5 linked regions of the Mus musculus genome follow. The protein of the gene in region 1 interacts with the protein of each later gene in a pairwise test. Links are inferred from orthologs where the notes say so. Each region holds a gene or a part of one and is shown in the gene's direction. Other genes may lie near its edges.

Region 1 (4,212 bases):
AGGACTAATGTCTGAACTTTGCCTTCCAGCAGCATATCCCATTATGAGCATAAGAACTGTACTGTCTACTAAGTTGATCCAATATAATTTTGTGTGATTCAGCCAAGTATTTTTTAAGTTCCTTTTGGATAAGAAGTAAAAGAGGAGCTGAACTGAGGAGTGTAGCTATCTTCCCTAACACAGTCACTGTTCCCTCAAGTTTGTTCATTATGTCAGACCAAGTATTTCCTGTGACAAGTGGCCTTTTTAGAAGATGCTCCCTTCAAAAGTAACTATTCTAGTAGGAAAGAAAAAGACTTCAGAAGAAAAGAGCACTAATCAAATAATAATCAAATCCTTAGTTACAACTGGAGGGATAGAATGCCCAAAAATCAATTCTAGAATATGTACTTAAATCTGAATACACATCTGTGTATTATTCCTTTTCCACAGAAACTCAAACCTGAGAAAATGAGTTTAAATTGTATGCAGAAAAGTATTCCAACTGCTAGGATGCTTCTACAATTAACAAAAATTGTTTCCCATCTTATTTTTGGTAAATAACTAAGCTTTTGGATATTTATTCTTGATAACTAACCTTTGGACATATTAACATTAATATTGTTGCTGCTTACTCTGAGGACAAGTTATGTAACTTTTTACAGTTGCTGATACTGATCTGATGGCTTAAAGCCCTTAAAAGCCAGCCCATTGAGATGAAGAATCGGGGTTGCAGAGCGCTAGGGTTAAAGCTACAGCTTTAGACTTTGACCCAAGTATTTAGCCACCTATTTACAGTAGAAATGACCATAAAGCACTGCACCGGAAACAAGATATGTGTATGATGGATAGTTGCTTATAATAATGACAGTCCTTATTACATGAATTTATCTAACAGAAATTACATACTACTTAAGAGAGAAGGTAGGCTCTCAGGCACTTTTTAAAAAGTCCTTGCAAAGGAGTCTTTGAACGGAGTTCCCAAAGCTATGGGGCCAAGTCTAATGAAGCTGGTTCCCTTCCCTTAGGCTCTCTCCTACTTTTATTTTATTTGCTTGTTTGTTCTTTTATGGGAGAGTGGGGGTGGGAGGGAGAGAGGGAGGGAGGGAGGGAGGGAGGGAGGGAGGGAGGGAGGGAGGGAGACAAGGTCTCACTGTGTAGCCCTTAAACTAACTATCCTTGAACTCGGTATATAGACCAAGCTGACCCTGAACTCAGAAATCCTCCTACTCTGCCTCCCAAGTGCTGAGATGAAATATGCATTATTAGCCAGGAGCGCAGGGCAGCTAGCCTACCAGGGGCCTGAACTGCGCTGCCCCGCCCTCCCTGGCAGGGATGAGTGACAGCGACAGCGACAGGTGCTGAGAGCAGAGGCGTCCGCTGCTTCTGTGTGTGGCGCCCGGAAGGGGGAGCAGAGTTTGCACGTGGGAACTTGTCTTCCTGTCTTCGAGCCAGCTTTCGGAAGTCCCCAGAGGCCACTCTCTGTAGTAGACCCTAGAGGTCGGCCCTCCAGGGCAGGGAAGGCTCGCCGCTCTTGCCTTCCGCGGCGCGTTCCCCTCCGCTCGCAGTGCTCGCGTCCGTCCGTCCAGCCGTCCGTCCTGCCGCCGCTGGCAGTCGCGGTGCGCGCCGTCCGTGCCGCCGCCCCGGCGGCCCCGGGACTTGCGCACAGCGCCACCGCCACCGCCGCCGCGCAGCCCGCCTCCCCCGCCCCCACAGGGCAGCTCGCCCGGCTCGGAGACTGCGCCACTGCAGCCGCCGCCGTCGCCGCCAGGGGGAGCGAGTCCCCGACGGGAGACGCGCCGGCTCGCTTCCTGCGAACGCGCCTTCCAACTTGAGCTTCCCGCGAACTCCGGAGATTAGAAAGATGGAGACCGAGTCCCGGGCGGTGAGTGCTGAGGGCCGGCCGGACTCTGCGCGGCCCGGCTTCGGACGGGCTGGAAAGAGTGGACTTTGGAGTCGAAAGCCTTGCTGTGGGGTTGGGAAGGAACGCGCCGCGGGAGGGCAGCGGGCAGCCCCGCTGAGGAGAGCGGCCCCTCGGGCTGTGTGAGAAGGGGCGCTGGGGGTGGGGGAGGCGGCGCTGGCCCTCGGTGGGGCGGACGGGCAGCTCGGGGGAAACGGCCATCGGCCAAACATGCCTAGCGAGCGGCCGCCCTCAAGTGTTCCCGCCCGGACGGCGGCGCCCTCGACGGCTCGCCCTTTTCAGGACACGTTCTCGCGGGCACGAGTTGCGCGGCCGTCGTCGACGCCCCGACCCGGGGCAAGGCCTGAGCCCGGGAAGGCCTGAGCTACGCGCGCTGCCCTGTCAGGCCTGGGCCCGGCTGGGGCCTAGGGGCCCCCACCGCCCCCGCCCTCCCAGTGCAGCCTGGTAACGTGCCGCGCCCCGCCCCGTGCCCGGCCGCCAGCCAATCAGCATGCGCCCACGCAAGGCCGCGGCCCCGCCTTGCACGAGGCGGCCAGCGCGTGGTAGGTGCCGTTGAGGGTTCCCGCCACCGCTGCTGGCGGGTTTGCCTGACAAAATTTCTCGCTGGCTGGCCTTCTTTTCCCTCCCGCACTTTGGTGGGGAGGGGGGAGACCCTCGTGTCGGTGTCCCGGTCCACGATGACCCGAGAGAACCCGAGGACGTTGTCAATCCGGCCATTTGCCCCATCGCCTCAGCCTGCTGGCCTCCGAGGGGAAGGAGCACCGAGGCGGTGACTGCGACGGTTAGCCCACCTCTTCCTTTGTCTTTGCAAAGATGATCCATCTCGAGGTCGAGGTTAAGCCTCAGAGGAGACGGCACTAGGGCCATGTTACCTTGGAAGAGCATCTTAAGAAACTCGTTGGTGGTCGAGCTTTACGGGGAAGCAGAGGGTCCAGACTAAGGATCCTGGAGCAGGCAGCCTCCTAGCTCCATGCTTTCAAATGGTTGACAGTGGGAGGTTCCCTCTCCTCAAATTCAGTGCTAACCTCGAAGGAACTTGATGTTACCTCTGTCAGAGCCTTGTTGCCTCTAACCATAAAATGGGTTCTAGAATGTTACTGATACTTCGGTCCTTACCCAAATGTTGACCAAGTACCAAGCAGGTCTCTCCTGAAACCTGGTTTATACAGTCAACAGATAGATAGGCACTGAACACTTGCTATGCGATGTTTCTGTTTTGCATGTCGCAGTGAGTTAAAAAAAAAATAGGCAAGCATCCTGTCTTCATGAATATTACAGCATAGTAATATATTACAGGTATATATGTGGTATCTTAGAAAATAAGAAAGAAAGCCATAACATCCACACTGGAGCCTTAAAAACAGGGACTGAAGTGATTTGGTTGTTTTAAAATCATTTTCTCAGTGTTTGAGGTCTCTTCACTTGGGACTGATTTCATCCACCTCTCACAGGAAAATGGAGTCTTCTTACTTAAACTTGAAAACAAACTAGTACTTCCATTGAACTCCTTTGTTTTTACAGAATTTTGTGAAGACATCATTATTTAACAAATTCTATACTAGAAATAAATTGGCACTGATATTGATATGTTCAGCCTTCTAAATTAGAAGTATAAACATAATGGATATATACCAATTTGTTTTGGGTTTTTTTGTTGTTTTGTTTTTTACAAGACAGGGTTTCTCTATGTAGCCTTGGCTGTCTGGGAACTCATTCTATAGCCCACAGACACATTTGTAATTGAGTTGTCTGTGAAGTCATTGGTCAAAGGAAGAAAGTACACCATGGGGCCTCTCAGGTGTTAAGAACACAATTTATACAAAATGGGCTTGAGACTTTTAGAATTCCAGGTAGAAGGGCTTTACCTGAAATGCGTATTGTAAGGAAACGGGAATGTTTCTGTGGTTGTGTGTATTATTGCTTTAAAAGTAAGATTGGTAAAGGAGAACAGTTGCTCAGAATATCCAGGATTAAGCAATGTTTGGTAGTTCTTGTGGTTTAGACAGTGCTTTTGTTTTTATAGGTATTTAGACACGATTAAAGAATTTTTTTTATCTTGCTCCATTATAATTACAGTGACCTTGTCTAATGCTGATGTTCTGTTAACAAGAGAACACCACTGCCTAACTGAGTGCCAGGCCAACTTAACACCTGGACAGAATGGTTGAGACAAAGCTTCTCCAGATATCTGAGTCTTTTTTTCTCCCTCTTTGACTTCTTTATGAATTTAGTATTCTTCCTTAACAAATAGCCTATCGCATAATTAATGTAAGTACATTTGAGTAGTACATTTAATAGTAAGCAATTCTGTA
Region 2 (3,638 bases), on another chromosome or scaffold:
GTTGCTGCTGCACTTTGGCACTGCTGAGAGTAGAGTGAGTAGTTGGAAAGTGAGAGAAGCAGTGTAGCCCACAGCACCTAAAATATTTACTATCTGGCCCTTTAAATGATCTTTTATTGGTCCAGACAGTTGCTGATTGCTAACCTAGACTACAAAATTTTGTCATTACTAAAGTTTGGTATATTTTTACACAAAGAATAATTTTTGGGGTTTTTGCTGTAGAGTGATTTTATTTTATAGTTGTTAGATCTGATTGCAAAAAACAGATGAATTGATTTTAAAGGAAATGCCATTTGAGTGTGTTATTCTATTAAGCAAAAAAAAAAAAGTATATGGTACAAATTGTATAACATATAGACATTGCTTGGAGGTGGGCCTTAGGCTTTGGTATTTTAAAGGCATCACAGGTTACGTAGCCACAGTGAGGACCACTGATGTTGTTCTACTCTTTTATAAGTGGCTTTTCAAGCCATGCAGATATTCAGCGAGGAGGCTGAACAGAATGGTTCTCTTGTCTTTATACCGTTTTATAGTCTCCAATCTAGACTTGAGTGGTCAGTATCTTAGGCTTAGTTGTAGCTATTTATGGATTTTAAAAAATATCTATTACCTATTTTGTTGCAATTTGTAATATTTTCCACCTAACGTTACTCATTTTAGGAGTGTTAGGAGGGTGTAGAAATGGAGACAAATAGACCTAATAGAGCAGTATTGCTGCTACTGAAATGGTCTTGTTAGCACGTAAAGTTTAGATTTCAGGTGTAGGATGGAAAGATAGTTTTATTGCTTTCCTCTCAATTGGAATAGTCATTTTCAATATAAAAGTATTCCCCCAAAACTTAAAGTAAAAAGTTAACATTTGAAAGTTTTTGTCAGGGCTGACAAGTTGGCTCAGAAATTGCTAGCACTTGCTGTCTTCCAGAGTAACTGGGCTCAGATTTTAGCATCCATAATGATGGCAGTTCACAGCCATCAGACATGTCCATGCCCTCCCTCTTCTGCCTTTCATGGGTAGCTACACAACACACACACACACAATATTTAAGTTTAGTATGGAAGACGGGAGAAATTAATGACATCCAAGATCTTATAAATTTATTTTAATTCAGTATTCAGGAACTACCATGAGTGAATTACAACTTAATACCTAAGCTTTTTCTGGGAAGTTTAAGACAGGGTTTTCACAGAGTAAAATTTAGTGCTTTTCAAATTGCCTCTGTATTTCTGATCCTGCTAGTTCTATTTCCTTGACTTCAAGAGCTATGGAAATAGATAACTAACTACTCTGCATGGAGACTTGCTGGTTGGTAGTGACATTGACCAATCTCTCATACTTTTGGTTTGCCAGTTTTCCCTCTGACCTTTTCCAGTTTTGTTCATAAAGGTTTCTTTCATAAGTAAATTTTGAACCCAGGTTCAAGGTGAGTTCAGAATATATACTCAAATTCATTCAATCCTTTTTTTTTTTCTTCTAAATGCAGGGTTGTACACATTTTAATAATTGTCTTATGTATCTGGTATTTAATGCTGACAGGATTCCAGTCAATGGAGAGGTTTCATTGCAAGTAGCTGCAGGTGTGTTTCATAGTAGAGATAAAAGTTTTCAGTGAAGCAGATTTTATTTTTTATTATATTCTAGTAAATAATGAATATAGATGTTGATTAAGTGGGACAATATGATTTGTTTTTTGTTTTATTATGCCATGCTAAGTCAAAATTTGAGTTTTAAAGGCAAAAGTATCAGGTACCAAATATAAAGGATTTAAGAACTATAAACATAGTAGTCATTATTCCTAGATATTATAGTGAATTAATTTATATAAAACAATGTATATGAAGAGTGTTTGTAGCACTGTTTCACTTATAAAGCACTTGTCTGTAATGGGATTTCATGTGGTACTGTTAAATAGGATTTCCCTTTAAACCTAATTAATGACTACTTTGCTTTTATGATTTTCGTCTTCCTAGAAAGTGTAATTATTTCACCTATTTGAGCATTCATTCTAGGAATTTTGTGCAAATGGGAACTTGCTCAAGGGTTATTATTAGTTTCAAAGCAGTTGTAATGAAAATACATGCTTATAGTGACTTGAATTTTAGGCTATAGAATTTAAAAAGTGTCTGGAAAAATTTTGTAACTCTTTGGTTTTGAGATGTTTTATGCTGGACTCACTACATAATTATGAATATATTTGTTAATTTTTTAATCATTTTTGGTCCATAGCAATAAGACTAAGTCTCTGGAAAACTTTCACCAAAAAACCCAAAACATTTGTTATGTATTTTGCTTTTTTCAGCTAGTTACAGCCAGCAGACTGGACCCCAACAACCTCAGCAGTTCCAGGGATATGGCCAACAACCAACTTCCCAGGCACCGGCTCCTGCCTTTTCTGGCCAGCCACAACAACTGCCTGCTCAACCACCACAGCAGTACCAGGCGAGCACTTACCCTCCACAAACGTATACTACCCAACCATCTCAGCCTGCCAACTATACTGTTCCCCCTGGCTCTCAGCCTGGAATGGCTCCAAGCCAACCTGGTGCTTACCAACCAAGACCAGGTTTTACGCCATCTCCTGCAAGTACCATGACCCCTCCTTCTAGTGGGGCTAACCCTTATGCTCGTAACCGTCCTCCTTTTGGTCAGGGGTATGCCCAACCTGGACCTGGTTATCGATAAGGAGGTTCAGCCACACTAATAATAATGGCTGATTGCCTCCCAAAAGACTATACAATACTATTTTGTTTCAATTTGTATTGTATTGAAGTTTAAAAATTTAAAAAGCAGAGCATTTTTTTATGATATCATTGTTGCTGTTAATTGAAAATATAATTTACCAGAATACAGACACAAAAAGACCAAAATGAATATTGTTTCCTCCCCTGCTTAAAATTGTAGCCGCTTCCTAGTTATTTTGGAACACTACTCTTACATGCGTGTAAAATGATTGGCTTTCTAGTTTCCCAGAGAATATTAAAAAGCTAGGCTAAGGTATAGCCATCACACTTGGCTATTTACTGTTAACATGATGTACTAAAAATAGAGCCCTCTGAGAAGATGACTAGACATTATGTATAAAATGTAACATTGATAGGCTAATAAAGGTGATTGAATCCAACTGTGGTCTTGTTGCCTAATTATTTAAGACATAAAGAAAATAGTCATTTTACAGAATTAATGAAATTGATTTCCATTCATATAATAAATTTGATTGACTTAGACTATAAATACAGTATGGGTTCAGTAGCTCTTCATTTTATGATTTTTCCTTACGGCGATAAAGGTATATTTACATATTGGCAAACTATTCAGAATGTTTTTAAAAACCTACTTTTTATTGCAGTGTTTATACTTGTTTGAAAATACAAAATACTGTAGCATTGATAAAACTGAAGCATGTTGAAAGATACATACAGAGAAAAGTCTTTTCAGGGCAAGCAATAATTTTCTTGGCTCCCTCCCACACATGAAGGAAAGCAATGCTTTTTTTTTCCCCCATGAAATGAGTCTGTTTTGTTACAGCTTAAGTAAACAGTTTCACAAAAACATTCTGTAATACATTCATTCATGGCCTAAGCATATAAATATATCATATATCCTATAAAACAATAGCTTCTCACCATGCATTATCTTTTCA
Region 3 (3,228 bases), on another chromosome or scaffold:
AACCATCATGAAGCTTCAAGCGGGGCACACCTATGGTCCTGTTACTCGGGAGGCTGAGGCAGGAGGATTATGAGTTAAAGCCAGCCTGGGCCACAGAGTAAGTAGTCCATTTCCAGAATATTCTGTACATATAGGCAGACACCCAAGAGCATCACTTGGTTAATGTCCCTGGGTTCAACACTTCTGGATCTGGGAACACAGAAACAAATAAGGTTGGAGAGATGTGGCTTAGTGGAGCCCAGTAGTCATAAGGCTTTGTGTGCAACTCTAGGTTCAACACACACACACACACACACACACACACACACACACACACACACACAGCCTTTGAGTGAGGTGCTGTGACTTGCCTAGAGATGCAGAGCTTACATAAATGGCCAAGTTTGATTCTGAGGGCAGGCTGCCTGCATGGGAGCCCCTGTGTGAGAACAAGCTCTGTTGTAAACCTCAGGGCTCTATACATGTGGCAATGATGGTGACACTGACATCACCCCTTTGTGGCTGAGCCTTGTGTTCGTCCCTTTGACCACATATTCCTCTGGCCTATCCCCCTACTCAGCCTCCCTCCTAGATGAGGCATGAGACCCACGGGAAGAAGATGACCCCTCCCCTCCCTCTTCCAGAACCAGGCTGAGGCTCATTACAAGGGCCACAGACACGCCAGAAAACTCAAGGCTGTGGAAGCTGCCAAGAGCAAGCAGAGGCCTCGAAACCCGACCACAAACGGGACAGTGGTGTCTTCAGCCTCACCTCCAGCCAGTGGAAGCCCTGGAACCCCTCAGAGCAAAGGTCAGTCTTGATTTCAAGTTCACACAACGAGGCTGGCTTCTGACAGCGGCTTGAGTGACTCTGGCTCTTCAACCATCTTTCTTTCCTTTTTCTTTTGTTTGGTTTTTCAAGACAGGGTTTTTCTGTGTAGTCTCAGCTTTCCTGGAACTCACTCTGTAGACCAGGCTGGCCTTGAACTTATAGAGATCCATCCACCTGCCTCTGCCTCATGACAGTGCTGGGATTAAAGGCATGCACCACTACTACCTGGCTTTTTATTTTTAACTTGGGATTTTTTGGTGTGTGTGTGTGTGTGTGTGTGTGTGTGTGTGTGTGTGTGTGTGTGTGAATGTGTGTATGTGAATGTGTGTGTGTGTGCATGTGTGTGTGAATGTGAATGTGTGTGTGTGAATGTGTGAGAATGTGTGTGTGCATGTGTGTGTGTGAATGTATGTGTGTGTGTGAATGTATGTGTGTGTGTGTGAATGTGTTGGTGCTCATGGAACACAGAGGCCAGGAGGGGTCATGAGGTCCCTGGAGCTGGAGTAGCAGTGGTTATGGGTTCTGGGGACTGCACTCCCATCTGCTGCAAGAACAGTACATGCTCTTAACAGCTGAGCCATCTCTTTAGCTTTTCACCATATTTCCTGCTAAAAAAAATGACCCCTAATATACAGACATTGGCAGACACCTATACTGTTCCTTCCTCAGGCTGACTCTGGATCAGGCAACGTGCTGCCAGCACACCTAGCCTGAGCTAGGATTCAACTACTCCCTGTGTTGGTTCCCTAAGGCTGGCAGAACACAAGGCTACAAAGTAGGTGGCTGAAACAATAGAAGTGTATTTTCTCCACAATCTAGAGGTCAGAGGTCTGCATTCAGATGTGGGTAGGTTTGGGTTTTTTTTTTTTTTTAACCTGGGGGCCAGAGGGAGAAGCTCCTGTCTCAGCTAATGGGTACCACTGTCCCCTACACTCCTTAGAGACGGAGGAAGGAGAATTCAGAGTTCCAGGTCAGTCTGGAATACACATCAAATTTAAGGCTAGCTAAGGTTCTGTAAGACCCTGACTCAGAAAAGAAAGGACAGGGGGTTGGGAGTCTACCTCAGTGGGTACAGTACTTGCAGACCACTTGGGAAGTCCCGGAGTTTGATTCCTAATACCACCACGGAACTGGGAATAGTGGCACGGACCCATGATCACAGCATTTGCGAGGTGGAGGCAGGCAGGCTAGAAATCTAGTTCAAGGGTATCCTCAGCTATATAGTGAGTTCATGGCCAGCCTGAGATACACTAGACTCTGACAAAAAACAACATTCCCCCTAAAACCTCCACTAACACCCATCATTTCTGAGTTTACATGTGGTCATTTTCCTTTCCTGTGCTGTGTTCTCTGCCTCAAAGATAGATTACCATTCACCTGTATGATGGATCTCACCAATTTCCAGTTTAATGCTATTATAATACTAAAACATTCTAGCACATCTTTCTGGTGACTTCTACTTACTCAATACTGAGGAGCTAGAACATTAGACTGAAAGTGTGACCAATTCTGTCCGATTTTATGATTTTTTTTTTTTTTGGTTTGGTTTTTTGAGACAGGATTTCTCTGTATAGCCCTGGCTATCCTGGAACTCACTTTGTAGGCCAGGCTGGCCTCGAACTCAGAAATCTGCCTGCCTCTGCCTCCCCAATGCTGGGATTAAAGGCGTGCACCACCACACCAGGCCGATTTTATGATTTTTTATACAGGGAAACTGAGGCTCAAGTTTGCCTAGTGAGTTGGTGGCAGGGTGAACCCAGAATTGAGTGCTAGCTGTCCTTTACCAGGAAGCCTTCCAGCCTCCCATTCTATCACCATGTCAGTGTTGCGCCTCAGAGGTCCAAATCTCCCCATATGTCCCATGTCCTTGCAGGTCCTGCATCCCCTCCTCTTGGCCCTTCACTTCAGCTCCCGCCGACCCCGGACCCATCAGCCGGAGACCCCGTCCACTCAGCCGGAGACCCCGTCCACTCCGAACTTTGTGATGCTGCTGCTTCGTCTTCCTCCTCTTCCTGCCCACCCTGCTCCCCGGATCCCAGCAGGGAAGCACCAGGGCCTGAGCCAGCAGAAGGGGCCGTGGGAAGTGGAGTGAATGGGGAGGGCAGGGGCGAGAAGGGACGCCTCTACTGCCCTACCTGTAAAGTGACAGTGAACTCCGCCTCTCAGCTTCAGGCTCACAACACAGGTCAGTGCTTCCCGGGTGCCATGTCATTCATGGCCAGGTGACAGAGGAACCTACCCACTGTTACTACAAAGACATTTCTGGGTCCTTCTCTTCGTCCCAAGGGAGGGGCATTGGGAGGAGAAGTCTGCAGCAACCAGAACTGAAGGTCACTAAGGGCCTGGAGTACCCTCCTCCATACTCCTTGGATCAAAAGGAAGGGACTTTTTCCCAGCTGTCTATTTTAAAAGGCCATC
Region 4 (4,054 bases), on another chromosome or scaffold:
CGCTTCTTGAACTCAGGACACAGCCATTTGTAACTTGGAGACTCAGTTTCCTCCCATCCTGTGCGCCGAATGAAAAGGAGTACGAGCTCGCGAGAGCGAACAAGATCAGGTTTGAAGCCAGCCCTCGGCCTTAGGTGTTCTCAGGGGATGGCAGTTAGGATTAAAGCCAGCGGACAAAGGGGCAGGGTCCCCCACTTCTAGACAACCTCTGAGGTTGTATGCAGTGGTGAAATGGAAATGAGATGGAAACTTCCTTCTAAGAGGAAGCTCCCTGGGGTTTTGCCAGTTGCACCCCGCCCCCACTCCACCTGCGGGTCTTAGGAGACGAACGCCCGGCCCGTGCCGCCCTCCCACGACTTCCCACGCACCCAGCCGTTGCGCTTGAACCCACTGAAAGAATCCCAGCTCTCGACGGCAGGAGTGTGGGAGCGACTGACACGCAAATCCGCTGACCCCGCCCGGGCCTGCCCTGCCCAATCGGAGCCCTTTTAAGGGTTGGGACCCTCTGCGGTGCGGGTCGCAGCTCTGCGCGGGGACACGACAAGTGTTTGCTGAGGACCTGGGCCAGGCCGACTGACTACTAGCACAGCACCGCATTGGAGATCTCTTTTTGGGGAGGCAGAGCAGCAGTAGCAGAGAGAGGGACAGAAGGGGGCAGTCGGGAGAGCTAAAGCCAGGACCTGCAGTGGTCGAGGGCCGTTAGCCCTCCGTGTACACCGAACCTTAGGGAAGGCAGGAGGAGACAGTCCCATGGCCCGCCCCCTCCCAGTCTAGTGTAGTGTCTGACCCTTATCCTGCCCTTCTGGTGGCTTGGCAGGCTAGAATGGGCTGATTCCCAGGCCCTGAAAGGAGTCCCAGGCCCTGAAAGGTGTCACAGGGGTGTCACAACTGGGGAGTGCTGGGTTTTGTGGGGAGAGCCAGTCCTCCCCTCCAGTCGTTCCCAGATGTCATTCTGCCCGCCCAGGCGCTTGGTTCCTGAGTTCCGGGGCATTCCACGGTTACTAAGTTACTGGTTTTTGTTGACTTTTAAATATTTTCTTCTACGGGAGAGGGGGAGGGGGGCAAAAGCCAGGAAAGAGCAAATAGAAACAAGTCAACTTAAGCCCCCCTCCCCAAAAGAAAGTTGCCCTCTACCCCTCATCCCTACCCCATCCAAAGGCCTCTGAAACCCATCCCTTGGCTGGAGCAACAGCCAGCCAGAACTGACTACTTCCCCGGCCCTGTCTTCAGCTCCCTTTCTGGTGAATGAGGGCTGGTGGACCACAGTCCCTTTGTCTCCCAGCCCTGGGTGGACAAAGGGGCTTCCGGAAAGAAAGAAAGAGGATGGCCAGCGGAAATGGGCTCCCTCCATCCTCAGCCCTCGTGGCCAAGCGTCCCTCCGCCCTGGGGCCATTCCCCAGATATGTCTGGATCCACCAGGACACACCCCAGGATAGCTTAGACAAGATTTGCCATGACATCTGGAAGCGAGTTCAGGGCTTGCCAGAATCCCTGCAGCCCAGGACCTCGCTGGAGAAGCACTCTGCTCCCGTGACCGCAGCTGTCAGCTTCCAAGAAGAGTGAGTAGTCCCCTGTTTGGTTGATAATCAAGAAAGGGAGAAAGGGGAAATGAAGTCTGACTTTGGGTTGAAATGCTCTGGCCCAGTGTTAAGCCCTGCACACATATCTCCTCCCCATCCCCATTTCTGTAATCTCGAGTCACTTTCGGTCGGAGGAGCTGGCCAAGGTCCTGAAGTTCCAGACGGGAGGAAAGAAACCATTCCTGGCAGCTTCTTTTTCAGCGCCTAAGGAGACATTTTTCATTCTAAAGACATACGTGGCTAAGATAAAGATCTGGGGTCTTTGCAGGAGCATTATTGCCAACCTAAGGGTTAGGTGACTCACTACTGCCCCCAGAGGCAGCTAGATGATCTTTAGCCCTTTCCCAAGAAAAGTCCAGGCATTGGCACAGATGATCCTGGTGGTTGGAAACCACATCTGGAATCCCCTAATACAGAGAGCAGCTGTCCCATTCAGCATCCACAGAGCTACTGCAAGAGCGCACATCAAAATATTTACTGGGAAGGCATTGACATATTCAGAGGACATAATAGAAAATTAAAGTGCGGAAGATGGCTGTAAATAGCCGGTTTCCCAAATGGGAAATCCCCTGCCTGTCGGGGAAACACAGAGCTAAGTGTTTCAGTACTAGGGAAAAGTTGAGGAGACAGCCATTGGAAAGGAGAGGAAGGAGCATAGAGGAAGACAGGATCTCATTAGGAAAAGGAGTGCATCAGCTGTGGTGATTAATGCCGCTGCTGAGTACTCTTCCAAGGCTCTGCATCTTCAAAGTGGGCTGCACGCATTAATTAATCCTCCCAGCATCCCTATGAAACAGGTATTAGTGTCCCCATTTTACAGATGGATTAAGTGTTAATAATTAAGTGCTAATTAAAGCCTAAGTGATAATTAAGTGTTGTCTGCCCTCAACACATGCTCCGACTCAGTTCATAGATGCTCTGCAGTGTGTGTGTGGGGGGGGGGGGGGCACATCATCCAGGCATTTATCAGCTGCCTCTGGTTTCAGGGCTCTCTAAGCATCACTGAGGTGGAAAGCAAAGTCGAGCTGATGCTCAGGTCTGCTCTTGCTGCAGCAGTCCCTTTGCAAGCGCCTTTGCTTGCTGCAGATGAAGGCGGAAGGCATGCTGCCTGCTCCTGCCTCCTCTGCCCTGTGCTCAGCAGGACCCGGCTCCGATGCAAATGGCCTCTCTACAGCCAGAATCCTGTGGCTAGTCTGCTCAGTGGCACTGGGCTCCTTTGCCCCGTTCACTGCCATCTGCTTTGGGACAGTGCCTTGGCACAGGGAACCTTGGGGCTACACTCAGCTCTCTCAGTGGCCAAGTAGCTGATTGTCCACTTTCTGGATCAAAGGTCAGCAGCAATTTCCAGTAGATAGCCCCTTCCCTGCCAGGTCACACCGAATTCATGGAGACAGACTCTACTTCCAGTCTGCACTTGGCCGGAAATTGACCTGGAATACCTCTGGCCGGTCGCTTCTCTCCATTTGGCTTTGAATTCCTCATCTGCAAATTAAGGATGATGCGCCCTGCCTTGTCCACCTCTGAGTTGATAACGAGGGCTGAATGTGATGGGAAACAAAGAAATGAAAGATGCATTATACAAACAAGGCTGCCTTAATGTGGAGTTCATCTAATTTGGGGGAGGGGAGGCTACTTAGTTGGCTTCATCTAGGGTTTTGGTGTTGTGCTCCACGATCCCAGGAGCCTTCAGAGAGCCTCCCTGGAGTCAAGTGGGCTCTTGGCTGGACAGTTCTCTTCTACACCTACACACACACACACACACACACACACACACACACACACACACACACATACACGCTCACACTTGCACTCGTTTCAGCCTGAGTTCTTTAGGTGTTTGTCAGCTTTATTAACTGGAGTTCTGAGTACAGTTGCACTTGGAAGAGTTCTGAGAGGAGATGTGGGAATCTGCTGACTTAGATGAATAGACCACATTCTAATTGTATCGCTATCCACCCAGTAGAACACAGTGAGTGGGCCAGAGAGCGAGCTAGCAGCTGCTTCTTGGAACGAAAGATAACCAGGTCCAGCCCAGTGCTGGCTTTAGAACCTGAGACTGTGATAACCAGGTCCAGCCCTGTGCTGGCTGTGAGATCGATCTGAGCTTTGGTTTCCTTGTCTGCTGAGTGGGGGTGAGGGTAGGGGTGGCTGGAGGTGGCAAATCAGGAGGACTGTTCTAGGGTCCTGCTGGTAAATAGGATTGATAAACTCATTCTAATGACAGCAGTTATAATTTCTGTAAACCCTGCAGTTTTTGCCTGAGGTAGTGAGAGTCCAAGTGTGTGTAGATATAAATTTCCATAATTACCAAACTGTACTGTTCTGGTTTTAACTGTTCCTCTCCCCCTCTTTAAATGAGACCCAACCTCGGTTATTTGTTTGTTTTCTTGAGATAGGCTCTCACTATGCAGCCCAGACTGTCCTGGAACTCATTATACATGCCAGGATGAGCTCAAACTTCCAGCCTCCCAGAT
Region 5 (3,516 bases), on another chromosome or scaffold:
GTTCAATGTCTTCTTCAGTTGCTTTCCACCTTAGTTTCGAGACAGGATCTCTAATGGAACCTTGTCTTAGTCAGGGTTTCTAGTCCTGCACAAACATCATGGCCAAGAAGCACTTGAGGAGGAAAGGGTTTCCTCAGCTTACACTTCCACATTGCTGTTCATCACCAAAGGAAGTCAGGACTGGAACTCAAACAGGTCAGGAAGCAGGAGCTGTTGCAGAGGCCATGGAGGGATGTTCTTTACTGGTTTGCCTCCCCTGGCTTGCTCAGCCTGATCTCTTATAGAACCAAGACTACCAGCCCAGAGATGGCACTACCCACAAGGGGACCTCCCCCCTTGATCACTAATTGAGAAAATGCCTTACAGCTGGATCTCATGGAGGCATTTCCCCAAGTGAAGCTCCTTTCTTTGTGATAACTCCAGCCTGTGTCAAATTGACACACAAAACTAGCCAGTACAAACCTGTAGCTCACCTTTTGGCAAGACTGGCTGGCCAGCAATTCCAGGGATCCTCCTGCCTCTGCCTGCCCAGCTCCAAGTACTTCAACAACTGAACCATCTTCCCAGTGACTGGTTGGTTTTAGAAAGGCAGGCCAAGTTTGAAATCTGAGCCTACCTAAGCTCCCAGGGAATAAAAATGACGCTTGTAAAATGCTTAAAAGCAGAAATATTTTTGGCATCCTAGTTAAACTGGGGAATATTCTTTCAAGTACTTCTTTTTGTGATTGAGAGACTGTCTGAATGGGCTGCCTTTAGAATTTGCAGGCTGCTGTTTAGGTTATGCCTGTAAATTGGAGTCAAGATTACCAAATGGAAAAATTAGAATGAAGTTGAGAAAGGAATGGGAAGACAACAATAAAAATACCTTCTCTTTCTACATTGCATGGACTTCATCCTAGAAAGATGGTAATAATTCACCTTTCCAGGTGTTATGTGCTTAGCTGCCTAGCCTAGAATATAAAGCATAGGGGCCGGAGGTGTGTAACGAATACTTGCTGGTTGTTCCTTGTCAGATTGACACAAACTAGAGTTCTATGGGAAGAGGTATCAGTTGAGGAATTGCCTCTCTCAAACTGACCTGGAAACATGACTATAGGCCTTTTTTTTTTTTTTTTTTTTTTTTTTTTGATTAATCACTGTGCGTGGTGACACCCTGGGTAGGTGGCCCTGGGTTGTACAAGAAAGCAGGCCAAACAAGCAATGAGGAGCGAGCCAGTAAGTAATGCTCCTCTATCAGTTCCTGCCTCTAGGTCCTTACCTGCGTTTAACTGATGAGCCATTTCTTAAGCCCTACAAACAAAATTGCTTTTAGAGCTGTGTGCCTGGGTGTGTCTGTGTGTGTCTGTGTGGGTGGGTGGGTGCGTGCACACGCTCGTGTGTGAACGCCTGCTTGCCTGCCTGCGTCTGTGTGCTCTTATGTAGTGGGTGCACGTGGATATGCGTGCACATTCATGTGGAAGTCCAAGGTTGATGTCAAGAATATTCTTTACCACTTGATTAAGTCCGGTGCTCTGTCTTGCCTCCATGACAGACTATGAACTGCAAAGTGAAATGAACTCTTTTCTCCCCTGAGTTGGTTTTGGTCCCAGCAATAGAAAGAAGTGTAGGGCATTGGTCTCCCAGAGAATCTGAAGGGAGTTCCCAGCACCCATATCAAGCAGCTCACAACCACCTGTAACTTCAGCTCCTGAATGTCTGGCGCCCTCTTCTGGCTTCTGTAAGGACATATACAGATATATACATACACATACATTTTAAAAATAATACAAATATTTTAAAAGCATTTCATGATGTAGAAGCAATCCTATCAACTGTCATAAGTTGGCTGGGAGCTGTTGTATTTCCCTTTCAACTTAAAACTTTGAAATGTGAACTGAAAATTGATTAGAAAACATTCTTATATTATTTTTATTAAGAATGTTAAATGACTTCATATTTCTAATAAAAACAATAGCCATAATATATGTGGTAGAGTGATTGCTATAAAACATAAAGCATTACTCCAGGTCTGTTGTCTTTTTGGTTTGGTTTTGGTTTTGGTTTTGGTTTTTGATTTTTGATTTTTTGAGGTAGGGTTTCTCTGTGTAGCCCTGGAACTCACTTTGTAGACCAGGCTGGCCTTGAACTCAGAAATCAGACTGTCCCTGCCTCCCAAGTGCTGGGATTAAAGGTGTGCACCACCACTGTCCGGCCAGGTCTGTTGTCTTAGCATATAGACAGCTGTGTAAGTGTTGCTATCAGTCACATTTCCCTAAGTCAACAGGAGCCCTGTTCCCTGATGGAGGATTGCACCCTCTTATGGGCGACAGTCCTACCGTGGTTACATCTCGCTGTGCCTAGACTATGGGTATACCCTAGAAGCATTTCCTGCTCCCAATCCCCACCACTAGTTGATGTGTTTGTTCAGTTGACTGGGCCAGCTCTGGCAGAAATGGCCCTGTGGGATGATTGATGCTGTTTGCTTGTGGACCACAGTCTCACTCCCATCAGGGATGGGGTGGAGAATGGCGGTTAGAGTTCAAGAAGAGCAGCGTCAGAGACAGAGGCAAGTTCCTTGGTCCTAATCTAAACTTGGAAACTGTGTCTTTAAAGCTTCATATGTTTCTTAATAGACCCTTTCTGAAGATTTCTGAAAGGCAATCCTTAGGCTCTGCTCATCTATTAGTCTACCTTAGTTTGAATTTTTGTCTGTTGCACACCTGTTTAAATGCTAATCAGTCTTGACCTTGGAAGCAGTATATTCTGCCACCAACTATGGGTACAGGCAGAGCACCAAATGATTTGGAAGAGATGATCAAATATTAAGCTCTTGGCTATCAAGATGGCTCATCAGGTAAAGAAAGGTACTTATCACCAAATCTGAGTTTGATCCCAGGGACTCATGTTGAAGGAGGATGTAGAATCAAGTTGTCCTAACTCCACACCATACCATAATGCTCACAGGCAAAGCACACATAAAATTAAGTTTTATCAGTTGATATTTTTTAAAGAATGAAGTTATCTGATGATCCTAGCAGTTTCTTCCTGAGCGGGGGATAGTGAGAGAACATGCTAAGAGTCCTGTGTGATAAAGATTTATTCACTCACTCCTCTTTCTTTTCTGTTGCTTGCTCTAGGGTAACCAGGAGCCAACAACAACTCCTGACGCAATGGTTCAGCCTTTTACTACCATCCCGTTCCCACCACCTCCACAAAATGGAATTCCCACAGAATATGGAGTGCCACACACTCAGGACTATGCCGGCCAGACCAGTGAACATAACCTGACCCTCTACGGGAGTACGCAGCCTCATGGAGAACAGAGTAGCAATTCACCCAGCAACCAGAATGGATCTCTCACGGTATGTGAAGTCGGAGATGCAAGGTAGAAGGACGTGTGAAATTTTTACCTTCTCGGAAAGAAAGCGCTTTGAGTTAGTTTAGCATTTCTACTCACTGCCCAGCATGCATGTACTGACTGTTCTTTCCTAAGCCTTGTGGCTGGACAGTGGGGAGCTTGAACTAAACCTCGCTACT

The links.
Region 2: the proteins of Boll (region 1) and Tfg interact in binary tests that used the Homo sapiens proteins (3 or more experiments, as listed by UniProt). The two-hybrid records come from large-scale screens. The link is inferred for Mus musculus from reciprocal best matches to the Homo sapiens genes BOLL and TFG.
Region 3: the proteins of Boll (region 1) and Zfp385c interact in a two-hybrid assay, tested with the Homo sapiens proteins (2 studies listed by BioGRID). The two-hybrid records come from large-scale screens. The link is inferred for Mus musculus from reciprocal best matches to the Homo sapiens genes BOLL and ZNF385C.
Region 4: the proteins of Boll (region 1) and CK137956 interact in binary tests that used the Homo sapiens proteins (3 or more experiments, as listed by UniProt). The two-hybrid records come from large-scale screens. The link is inferred for Mus musculus from reciprocal best matches to the Homo sapiens genes BOLL and C1orf94.
Region 5: the proteins of Boll (region 1) and Rbfox2 interact in binary tests that used the Homo sapiens proteins (3 or more experiments, as listed by UniProt). The two-hybrid records come from large-scale screens. The link is inferred for Mus musculus from reciprocal best matches to the Homo sapiens genes BOLL and RBFOX2.

Annotation. Positions count from the first base shown.
Region 1 is NC_000067.6:55,360,951-55,365,162, reverse strand, and holds the start of Boll (protein boule-like), read left to right. Parts: upstream 1-1,409; 5' UTR 1,410-1,843; coding exon 1,844-1,864; intron 1,865-2,434; exon of another isoform or gene 2,435-2,681; intron 2,682-4,212. UniProt on the Homo sapiens protein: Probable RNA-binding protein, which may be required during spermatogenesis. May act by binding to the 3'-UTR of mRNAs and regulating their translation.
Region 2 is NC_000082.6:56,689,813-56,693,450, reverse strand, and holds the end of Tfg (protein TFG), read left to right. Parts: intron 1-1,534; coding exon of another isoform or gene 1,535-1,569; exon of another isoform or gene 1,570-1,575; intron 1,576-2,297; coding exon 2,298-2,680; 3' UTR 2,681-3,122; downstream 3,123-3,638. UniProt on the Homo sapiens protein: Plays a role in the normal dynamic function of the endoplasmic reticulum (ER) and its associated microtubules. Required for secretory cargo traffic from the endoplasmic reticulum to the Golgi apparatus.
Region 3 is NC_000077.6:100,630,255-100,633,482, reverse strand, and holds part of Zfp385c (zinc finger protein 385C), read left to right. Parts: intron 1-623; coding exon 624-789; intron 790-2,683; coding exon 2,684-2,995; intron 2,996-3,228.
Region 4 is NC_000070.6:127,968,026-127,972,079, reverse strand, and holds the start of CK137956 (uncharacterized protein C1orf94 homolog), read left to right. Parts: upstream 1-1,238; 5' UTR 1,239-1,245; coding exon 1,246-1,559; intron 1,560-4,054.
Region 5 is NC_000081.6:77,132,542-77,136,057, reverse strand, and holds part of Rbfox2 (RNA binding protein fox-1 homolog 2), read left to right. Parts: intron 1-3,116; coding exon 3,117-3,341; intron 3,342-3,516. UniProt on the Homo sapiens protein: RNA-binding protein that regulates alternative splicing events by binding to 5'-UGCAUGU-3' elements. Prevents binding of U2AF2 to the 3'-splice site.